Linked DNA regions of Saccharomyces cerevisiae S288C. Changing the gene in region 1 together with any one later gene gives a genetic interaction. Each region holds a gene or a part of one and is shown in the gene's direction. Other genes may lie near its edges.

Region 1 (5,824 bases):
TGATTCTTGGTAAGCTACGTTGTTGGCAAGCGATGCCGCTGCCATTCACAGCGGCATTTTGAGACTTTAGAATCTCTGGAATAGTCTCTGGACAGTTGCTTTGCACAACAAACTGAGAATTTTCAACATCTGGGCAGATGGTAGTGATTTCAACTGAATCGCTTTTCATGATACGCTTCCAAAAGTGCGATGAGAGTGCTGTTATCCTCCACTGTCTTCAAACACATTTCTTCAACAAAGTCATCGTCATCATCTTTTTTTTTTTTTTTTCATCGAGTATTTTTTCACACGAACGGCACAAGTAGCCTTCAACTGTAATAAACAAAAGCAGATAGGGAGGAAAAGAAGTGAGTTTAGGAAAGAAAGCATAACATGGAGAACCCTCATGAACAAGTGCAGGCTAACATACTTTCGCGAATAATTGGTAATGTCAAAAGGCTCAATGAGAGCGTGGCAATTCTTAACCAGGAGCTTGTGACCATTAATAATCGGAACAAAAATCTAGAAATCATGGGCGCAATTTGTGATAACTACCATAGTAGCGTCCAATTCAACCTGGAAGCGACCAATAACAAGAAGCCACCTCTTTAATTCACCAATTTTCTATATACGCATACTCATATACACATATATATATGCTATACCGTTTCTAATATATTCATTTAAGATCACTGTTTCCTGCGAAAAGGAGAAAAAAATAACAGCACATCGCTTAACCTATTCCTGTGCTTCTGGAAAGGACGCAGCCTGCAAGAAACAGTCAACATCAATGTCAGATCCATTTGCACATTTACTGACTTCTTTGAAGAATAAGGACTCTGCATCTGCATCCAAGGAAACAACTCCTCAGAGCAGCAATTCGCCTTCCATTACTGGTTCCGCTGTTGCAGATGTTGCAAGGACGGATAAAAGCCCCAATGATAGTCTGCATTCAATTTCAGCTCCTCCGCTGATACCGTCACCGAAGGTAGATTTTTCTGCACCTCCTTTGGTCCCAACTAATAGCACCACTAAATCTAATACTGCCAACAACACACCTCCCTCGGCTCTTGCCAATACCGATGACGACTTCAATCAACTATTTGGTATGGGCACAGTAACTACAACGGATACGATCCAAAAACCGGATGAGGATTACTATGGAAGCAAGGAAGACCACCTTTACAATGGTGATGACGCCTTAGTTGATGAAGTTAAGGATATGGAAATAGCAAGATTGATGTCTCTAGGTTTATCAATTGAAGAAGCCACTGAGTTTTACGAAAATGACGTAACTTATGAAAGATATTTGGAGATTTTAAAGTCAAAGCAAAAGGAGCGCAACGATCTAGCTATAAGAAAGAAAGAAAGTGGTATAAAAATGGAAAAGTCAGGATTATCCAACATTGTTGGTACAGATAGCAATAATTTATTCAGCATGGCCACTGATTTTTTCAATAAGGGTAAGAAACTGGTAGACCAATGGACCTCCTTCCCACCTGAGGCAAATGATAGACTGAATAATTACTCAAAAACTCATGATAAGGTTGAGGATTATGATTTGCCTCAAGTAAACGACTCACCCAATAGAATTTTGTTTGAAGATAATGAAGTCGTAGAGAACTTACCACCTGCCGATAATCCGGATCAAGATCTTTTAACTGATTTCGAAACAAAGATTGATATAACAAAGAGGACAGCGCCTGATGTCTCCCACTCCTCCTCACCGACTTCTGGTATACTAATTGAAGAAAATTCGCGAAGAAATGAGCCCCTGATAGAGGATAGTCTTCTCGACTTTTCAGAAGGAAATCTCACCAATAGTAAAAGCAATGAAGATAGCACCCTCTTCAATGAAAACAGCAACACTGACTCTACAATACCCATCTCAGATATTGAATTATCGGGGTATAACGAATTTAAGGCGAAAGGTACTAGTTTGTTCAAGAACGGGGATTATATTAACTCATTACAAGAATATGAAAAGTCTTTAAATACATTGCCTTTAAATCATCCATTGAGGATCATTGCATTATCAAACATTATTGCCTCGCAACTGAAAATCGGTGAGTACTCTAAGTCCATAGAAAACTCCAGCATGGCTTTGGAATTATTCCCATCAAGCAAAGCTAAGTGGAAGAATAAAATCTCAAATAGTGACCCTGAAAGATCATTTAACGACATCTGGCCAAAGATTATGATTAGGCGTGCTGAGTCTTTTGAACATTTAGAAAGTTTCAAAAAAGCACTAGAAACATACCAAGAGCTGATTAAGAAGAATTTTTTTGATGATAAAATCATGCAGGGAAAAAGAAGATGCCAAGACTTTATTAATCCTCCCCCTGTTAAAAAATCCATGCCCGTTAAGAAGAAGACAACGACAACCTCGCCTGCAACAAAAAAACAGAACTTAACCGCTTCTTCTTCAAATTCTCCAATTTCTGTTGATAGCACTTCAGAAATAAAAAAACGGGAGCTAGAAAACGCTAAACTGGCGCTATATGATAAAGTATTTGAGAAAATTAGCTCCTGGAAGGATGGCAAAGACGATGACATTCGTCATCTGTTAGCAAATTTATCCAGCTTACTAACATGGTGCAATTGGAAGGATGTCTCTATGCAAGATTTGGTTATGCCTAAGAGGGTCAAAATTACATACATGAAAGCTGTAGCCAAGACACATCCTGATAAGATACCAGAGTCCTTGTCCCTGGAAAATAAGATGATTGCAGAGAATATTTTCAGTACTTTAAGTATTGCTTGGGATAAGTTCAAACTGCAGAATGACATTAACTGATTTCCCTTGTGTGCCTGCTTCGCTCAGTTGTTTTTGATATGTACTTTATACAAATATATATAGGAAAACAAATTCTTCAAAGCGCGTTAGGAAAAAGTATGGAAAGGCTTAGTTTCATTTATTGACTTACAAGTGGCACCCAATTTGATTAATATGAAAAACAATCTGCAAAAAAAAAAAAAAAATTCAAAATATCACAATGTTAAAACACAATAGAAATAGGGCATTGTATTAAAACCACTGAACGACTAAAAATTGAAAAAGATTATGATACGTCAGCTCAATTATTGGTCAAGGAAGGCGTATCTCATTTACCCCTTTCAAGTTTTTGTAGGCGCATTATTATCAATAGTAGTATCTTCAGAAACATTAAACCATCAAAAAGAGACATGCGCTCTATTGAAATCGTCCAATATTTTCAATGTTATTTTTGCATACAAAGCGAACCAACTGTGGCCATTTTTATTCTTTAGTTTGGCTTTTCTGCAAATATACTTCCACTATCTAGCAAGAATGGATATATTGCCTTTACCAATATCAAGTACCGAAACTAGCTCTTCCTATTTAACATATACTAACCATTGGCCTCTGCTCAAAAATAGAATAATCAGTATTATGATCACTCAATATGCTTGCAAGTTCGTTCTAAAATATCTATTATTGTTTTTGAATTTCCAATTTATCGATCATGTTTTCATTTGGACAGGGGGAGAATGCAGTTCTGGTAGTAAAACGACATCAGCTGAAAAGTGCCGTCTAGAAAATGGGAAATGGGATGGTGGGTTTGACATTAGTGGACACTTCTGCTTTCTTGTGAGTATAAGCATGATTCTTTGGATGGAACTTCACTTATTCAGTAGATTTGTTCAAGCTGAAGATATGTTTTGGGTTGTGAATAAGTGGGTACGAGCTTGCCTTGCCATTGTTTGCGCTGTCCTAGTAATTTGGATATGTATTCTCTGGGTTACCGCTATTTATTATCATACTATCTTGGAAAAAGTGTTAGGTTGCCTTATGGGTTTCATATGCCCTGTTTTCATATACCACATTCTACCCAAAATTGGGATACTACACAATTACTTATATCTATGATAAACAGAGAAAATTAGCTCTATCCTCTTTCTATAAAGTATATTTTTGTTAACATTCACTTGAATATTGTCGCGAAAGAATGGTTTAATTTTAATTCCAAATCATCCAAAGAACCGAGCAATGCAATTTCCCATTTACTTTTATTATTTTGACTAAAATCATGAATATCGTCCAATATTGAACATGAAACTATTTCATTTTGTTTTACAAACAACTCGACTTTAATATCCTTCACAAAAAACGAAACCATTGAAGATTCTAAATCTAAATCTAAGTCGTGGATTATCTTCTTAGCTTCTAAGTCCTTAAAAATCTGTCGTCTTTTCTGTACTTCCACAAGTTGCAGGAAGACTCTTTTAGCAAATAAATAGGCGTCATCATGAGATATCACTAGTCCCCCATTGGTGTCATCAAATATACCTTGGACATCAATGAAACTCGGGATTGTATGCTTGAACAGGAACCAACTATTCGATTTGATCCTCTTTTTCAACAATACATAGTGAGGTTTTTCAAATTGGGATGTCCGTTCGCTGAAGACTTCCAGTCGTATTCCCAGCATTTCTCTATCAACAAATATTTCACCGCTAGCATCTTTTATCTTAAGGTCAATAGGGTCCACAAGAGGGAAAAATGTTATACCAAACATTCTATAAACATTTTCCAGGACAATATAATCTTCCAACTCACTTCTATCACTTGTACTAATATCGTCTATTTTTAGTTTTCGCTTTCTTTTTGAAGGTGACGTTAGAATGTCTGTATCCAATAAATCTGCCACCCCAGGATCAAACATTTGATGCTGAACCATTGGCTGGGTCTTTAAAACCCATTCTTGTTCTGGTAAAATTTCCTCATTCTCCAGCTTAGCTCTTTTCTTTGGTTCATACGGTATTGGCGTTGCTGGTATATCCGCTTGCGCCCTTGATATGTCCTTGTCATCTGTCTCTTCCAATTCTGGATGCTCATTAAATAAAAAATTATTCAACTGTGGGAATTGATCGAATAGATCTTCAAATTCTTGTACTATAGGATTAGCGCTCTCCTCATTTTTTCTTTTATCTTTTATCTTCGCTTTGAGCTTCTCACGACTTTCTTCTAATGAATTGACTGTGAAGATTCTACTATGTTAGTGTTCAACTTAATCATTTTTTTAAAAGAAAGAAAATTGTTACAGCCTCAAAATCACATACTTTCACTGAGTAAAGATTCAATGTCCTGCTGTAAATCATCGATTCTACTCATTGCCAGGAGCGTTACTGATAGTTTGAAAGAATTGCTCAAGTAAAGAAATCACATTTTCCCCTCATTATCCATATGGCTTTTGTTTGTTTTTTCTTCAGTTTTGAAATATGCGCGTTTTCTTACCATCATTATAAACTTAGGGAAGATCTATCATAGAATTGGTCGGCCATTACTGGCGATTAGTAAAACAATACATAAAGTTTGCATATTCAATGCGATAAAAATTTAAGACGGCCCAGGTATCGAATCCATGATATAGTGGTTCTTTTATGTATTAGGCTACTATTTATTTAATAACTTCGCATCTATCAAAAGAAAAGACTGACTGTTCACACAATCATATCAATTTGATAACTGCTAATTACTTCCAGCTTAGGTCCCGCCTCTTTACTTTTCCTTTCAATCGCCATCAAAGAGGCAACATAAGAAACCTTTGAAACTGGGACAGCGTATCCTAATAATGCAGATCCTGGCATCCTATATATACTGGAAGCAATTATTTCGCTTAACTTTGTTCTTAAGCCAATCCTTCTGGCCTCACTGATATATTTCTTTTTATAAACTAAAAGATAGTGAGGATAATAAAAAATTTTTTCCAAGAAAGTGGAGTTTTCTTTACCCAATTCAACGTTTATAGGATTTCCGTGCTGTCCACACATCGGACCTGGCCTCAAAATAACTAGCTCCTTTAGCTTATTTGGCAAAGCTTCA
Region 2 (5,176 bases), on another chromosome or scaffold:
GAGAAAAAAGCGCCACGATACATTCATACTAAGTTTATAATATACCGGTCGTCTTTTGGCTTTCTGATACCATATTATATCCTCGAAACACTTTCTCTGGATTCACCTACTATTAATCACCTCAAGATTTCACTTGTAAGGCGTTTTCAAATTTATTGTTATTAAAAGACATATTCATATTCAGTATTTTTATTTTTCTTCGAAACAGGAAAAGCTTATCTGAGTATGGATTTTACAACAATGACTATGGCAAGCAATATGGCTACTAGTACTACTACGACGGCTACATCGGCACATGCATCTATAAATTCGTCATCAAACTTTAATATTGATATTGATTCGAACCAGAATACTCCTTCCATTTTGATAAATAACAATTCGGATTCTTCTAATGGAAAAAACACAGATTTTAACGGCGTCAATAATATTCACCAAAAAAATATCATGAATAATACAAATAATGTTCATTTGTACTCTCCAAATATAATGGACCAAACGCTACTAACTCCACAGGACATTGCCAAGTTACGGAGAGAATCAATAGCCCATTCTCAAGGGATGGGTGGTGTTTCATGGGGATCCATTAGTGTTGGTTCTTGGTTAAGAGATGAAATTATTAGCCGTAGAAATAGTATTGTACCTGCATCAGCAAACGGTGCTGCCTCCGCTGCCGCTTCTGCAACCACTACTGCCACTAATACTTTGCAGATTCAACAACCAACTAAGAGACCCTCTGTTAGTAATCCGCCTTACCATAGAGGGTATTCTATTTCTCCTCAGATAGCCTACACTGCTTATCTGCCAAATCTAGAAAAGCAATATTGTAAAGATTATTCATGCTGTGGTCTTTCCTTACCAGGTTTGCATGATTTGCTGAGACATTACGAAGAAGCTCATATATCCACGTCTCCTAACACTACCAATATGTCACAAATACCGATGAACTCTGCTGGTAACACTAGTTCATCAGTTCGTATGACAAATAATACCTCTTCTGCCAACTATAACCTGCAGAATAACATGGCCGCTAATACAAAAAATGCAGGTCATAAGACTAATACTATGCAGGCTCATAGCAGCAATGCAACTAATAACACCTCCATTAATAATATGCATGCCAATCTTCAGAGCAACATGGATTCCAACTCCACAATACGACAATCTCAGCATCCTCACCATCAGCAGAATATAATACAACAACAGTTGCAATCGAATTCTGTAAATCATACATCAGGGGCTGTACCCACACCGAGTGTAATGGGTTCAGCAACTGCGTCGTCCACAACTGCAAATCCAAATGTGATATCTATAACGGGTGCCCCCAACTCGGGCTTATCTATGGCTAATCACTCTCAACAACTACATCTGAATGGTAATCTAGTCGATGCCGTTTCAACGAATGATGTGTTTTTAAGAACGAGCAATTCTCCATCAAGACACGTTCCGCACAATAAACAAATTAACAGTAACAATAATAGTGGTATCAATATCAATAATAATACCTCACACAATTCTAATATTAACATGGGTAGTAAAAACGCCATGGTGAATCGTCCACATACTTTTAATAACTATTCCTTGAACAAAACGTCCAGGAATCCTATTCAACATCAATCAAGAAAAATTGATCCTCATCAAACCGATTTATCACCTCTGGTACTTGTCCAAGATATAGATTTAAGTTTTATGGATGATGATATTTTGGGCCCTAGTAACCACAATTCCATGAACTCTGTCGTAAATCCAACTACAGGTTCTCACAACTACAATACTTTTCATTCTTCCGTACACGCAAAATCTTCTCAAAACATGGTCGAGGATCAAGACATTGATGACATTGATGATGACGATGATGTTGATGATGACGATGACGATGACGATGACGATGACACAGAAAATGGCTCCAGTTCCAATGGAAAATCAGTTCATAACAACAATTACAAGATGCCTCAGCAAGCTTATATAGACGATCCTGCGAGAAGGCTCTATGTAATGGATCATGAGGAACAAAAACCCTTTAAGTGTCCAGTTATTGGTTGTGAAAAGACTTATAAAAACCAAAACGGTTTGAAGTACCATAGGTTGCACGGACATCAGAATCAAAAATTACATGAAAACCCTGACGGTACATTTAGCGTAATAGATCCAGATTCGACAGATTCTTTTGGTGATGGAATGGGCTCTGCAAAGGATAAACCATACCGTTGTGAAGTTTGTGGTAAGAGATATAAGAACTTGAACGGTTTAAAATATCACAGGGGCCACTCCACTCACTAAGATATAATTGTTTCTTTACTGAATTGATTTAGTATGCTATTTAGATACTAATTCTACCGTTACCGACTCATGCATCGAGCGGCCGCTCTTTCTCTTGTTGTTGGGCGCAATTTATGTGATCATCTTTGAACGAAAATGCATGATAAAGCTGTGCTCTTCGACTGTTACCATTAATTTCAAAAAATAAAAAGCATATCTATTATTGAAAAATGAACTTATAATAGAATAACATTTTCTTGTTTTGTCATCATTTCCTCTAAATACTCCGTCATGAAAACGATTTGCGCTCTGTCTGGTCTCTCCTTTTAGTATTATTGTTGTGTGTTTTTTACTATTCATTTTTTACTACTGTGTTTTTACTATATATATTTTGGCTTTACTTACTTCCTTCTGTTCTGATGTATTAAAAACTATTTTTATTCTAAGAAAAGAAACTTTAATTCTTCTTATTCATGCTCTAAATCTTAAATAAAAGGTTCCGTTTTTTATCTGCAATTCTGTGTATTTGTAAGTGAATTACCATGCACGTTGTCGGATCGTTTTTCTAGGCAGAAACTATCTTATTGAACCATTAAAAGATTACTTAAATATTACAATTAATCTTACGAAGCATATTAATTAGACTGGAATTACAGCGCAACTATCACAGGTTAATAATTGGTTGAGAAAATATTATAGTTTTGTTAGTAATGTTGAACTTTTATTTTATACACTTATGAAAGTAAATTAATTCAATATCAATAATAATATACTATAAGTAACTTAAAAAGCAACCTTCCTCCCAAACCTACAATCCAATCACGCTGATAAGTATTATCTAGAAAGTTGACAACACCAAGCCATATGGTCAAGAAACATTTATTGAGAGTTATTTTGTAAATAAGACTTTTCGTCATCCATATAAAGCAACCTAATTGTTCATCTAATACTAGAGTCGCTCTTTTGAAAGTTAAGTATAACTACCTCATCATTAGTTGCTACTATGTGTATAATTTGAAAATCTCAACGTAAGGTTATTAAAAATATAAATGCGCGTAAGACAGAAAAATAGAGACAGCTTACGGCAAATTATCAAAATGTGAATCCAAGGTTTCAAGAAAATAAGATAAAGTGAATAGGAAGGATGAAAATCAATGTATCCCGTCCATTACAGTTTTTACAATGGAGTTCATATATTGTTGTTGCATTTCTGATACAATTGCTAATCATTCTTCCTTTATCGATCTTAATATATCACGATTTTTACCTAAGACTATTACCTGCCGATTCCTCTAACGTAGTCCCCCTTAATACGTTCAACATTTTAAATGGCGTACAATTTGGTACAAAATTCTTCCAATCTATTAAAAGCATTCCGGTAGGTACAGATCTGCCGCAAACAATAGACAATGGCTTATCACAGTTAATCCCCATGCGTGACAACATGGAATACAAGCTCGATCTAAACCTACAGCTTTATTGCCAGAGCAAAACTGACCATTTAAATTTAGACAATTTGTTAATTGATGTTTACAGAGGTCCAGGCCCGCTATTGGGTGCTCCTGGAGGAAGTAACAGCAAAGATGAAAAAATCTTTCACACTTCTAGACCTATTGTCTGCCTCGCACTGACGGATTCCATGTCGCCTCAGGAGATCGAACAACTAGGCCCATCACGTCTAGACGTTTACGATGAAGAATGGCTAAATACAATAAGAATAGAGGACAAAATATCGTTAGAGTCTTCATATGAAACAATCTCGGTGTTCTTGAAAACGGAGATTGCCCAAAGAAATCTAATAATACATCCAGAAAGTGGGATTAAGTTTAGGATGAATTTTGAGCAGGGATTAAGAAACTTGATGCTTCGAAAAAGATTTTTATCTTATATTATTGGCATTTCAATTTTCCATTGCATAATATGTGTACTTTTTTTTATCACAGGTTGCACTGCATTCATTTTTGTTAGAAAGGGTCAGGAAAAATCCAAGAAACATAGCTGATAGAATTGTACTTCTCGCTATATAATTTTAAAACCTAGCTGTTATTTTCTAAGTAAGTAGGCTCTTCCAGCATTCTGCTTCTTCGCCCTGAATAAAAAAAAGATGATCAGCGAAAAAACTCAAAATGAAAATAAGAGATGGATTCTTCAAAGTTATAATTCATATGCAGAATAAAGATTCTAAAGAAAATGCACACAATGCATATTCCATCCGGTGATGTTCTGATACCGAAGCCGAAGCTTATTACTGAAGAAACAGATCCACTGCATATAATAAAGACGAGGCAAAAGACACATGGTCGGCCCGTGACCATTGCAGGCCCAATGGTTCGGTATTCCAAGTTACCATTCCGTCAGTTGTGCCGAGAATATAACGTTGATATAGTTTACTCCCCCATGATTTTGGCAAGAGAATATGTCCGTAATGAGCATGCAAGAATCTCAGACCTTTCTACAAATAATGAGGACACCCCGCTAATCGTCCAAGTAGGTGTAAATAACGTGGCTGATTTACTAAAATTTGTGGAAATGGTTGCCCCATACTGTGATGGTATTGGTATTAACTGTGGTTGTCCTATAAAGGAACAAATCCGAGAGGGCATAGGTTGCGCTCTGATATACAATTCAGATTTGTTATGCAGTATGGTCCATGCTGTGAAAGATAAGTATGGCGACAAACTAAGAATTGAAACGAAAATAAGAATACATGAGGCATTGGACGAGACGGTGGAGTTATGTAGAAAGCTATGTGATGCTGGGGTAGATTGGATTACGATTCATGGCCGAACACGTAGAACTAGGTCATCGCAGCCGGCTAACCTGGATGCGATAAAATATATCATCGAGAACATCAGCGACAAAAATGTGCCTGTAATAGCGAATGGGGATTGTTTTAAGTTATCCGATTTGGAAAGAATCA

The links. A genetic interaction does not mean that the proteins touch.
Region 2: of YFT2 (region 1) and SEI1, changing one enhances a phenotype caused by changing the other (phenotypic enhancement), as found in Saccharomyces cerevisiae (one study listed by BioGRID).

The regions. Positions count from the first base shown.
Region 1 is NC_001136.10:1,103,047-1,108,870, reverse strand, and holds YFT2 (Yft2p), read left to right. Parts: upstream 1-3,043; coding exon 3,044-3,868; downstream 3,869-5,824. Other genes in the region: asparaginase ASP1, read right to left, coding at 1-169; DAD4 (Dad4p), read left to right, coding at 373-591; auxilin-like protein SWA2, read left to right, coding at 770-2,776; MCM21 (Mcm21p), read right to left, coding at 3,924-4,978, 5,062-5,113; HIM1 (Him1p), read right to left, coding at 5,443-5,824. UniProt on the Saccharomyces cerevisiae protein: Fatty acyl-coenzyme A (CoA) diphosphatase that hydrolyzes fatty acyl-CoA to yield acyl-4'-phosphopantetheine and adenosine 3',5'-bisphosphate. Preferentially hydrolyzes unsaturated long-chain acyl-CoA substrates in the endoplasmic reticulum (ER) lumen.
Region 2 is NC_001144.5:925,343-930,518, forward strand, and holds SEI1 (seipin), read left to right. Parts: upstream 1-3,400; coding exon 3,401-4,258; downstream 4,259-5,176. Other genes in the region: zinc-coordinating transcription factor SFP1, read left to right, coding at 226-2,277; DUS4 (tRNA dihydrouridine synthase), read left to right, coding at 4,447-5,176. UniProt on the Saccharomyces cerevisiae protein: Involved in lipid metabolism and lipid droplet (LD) morphology, number, and size. Facilitates initiation of LD formation, and ensures that vectorial budding of LDs from the ER is directed towards the cytoplasm.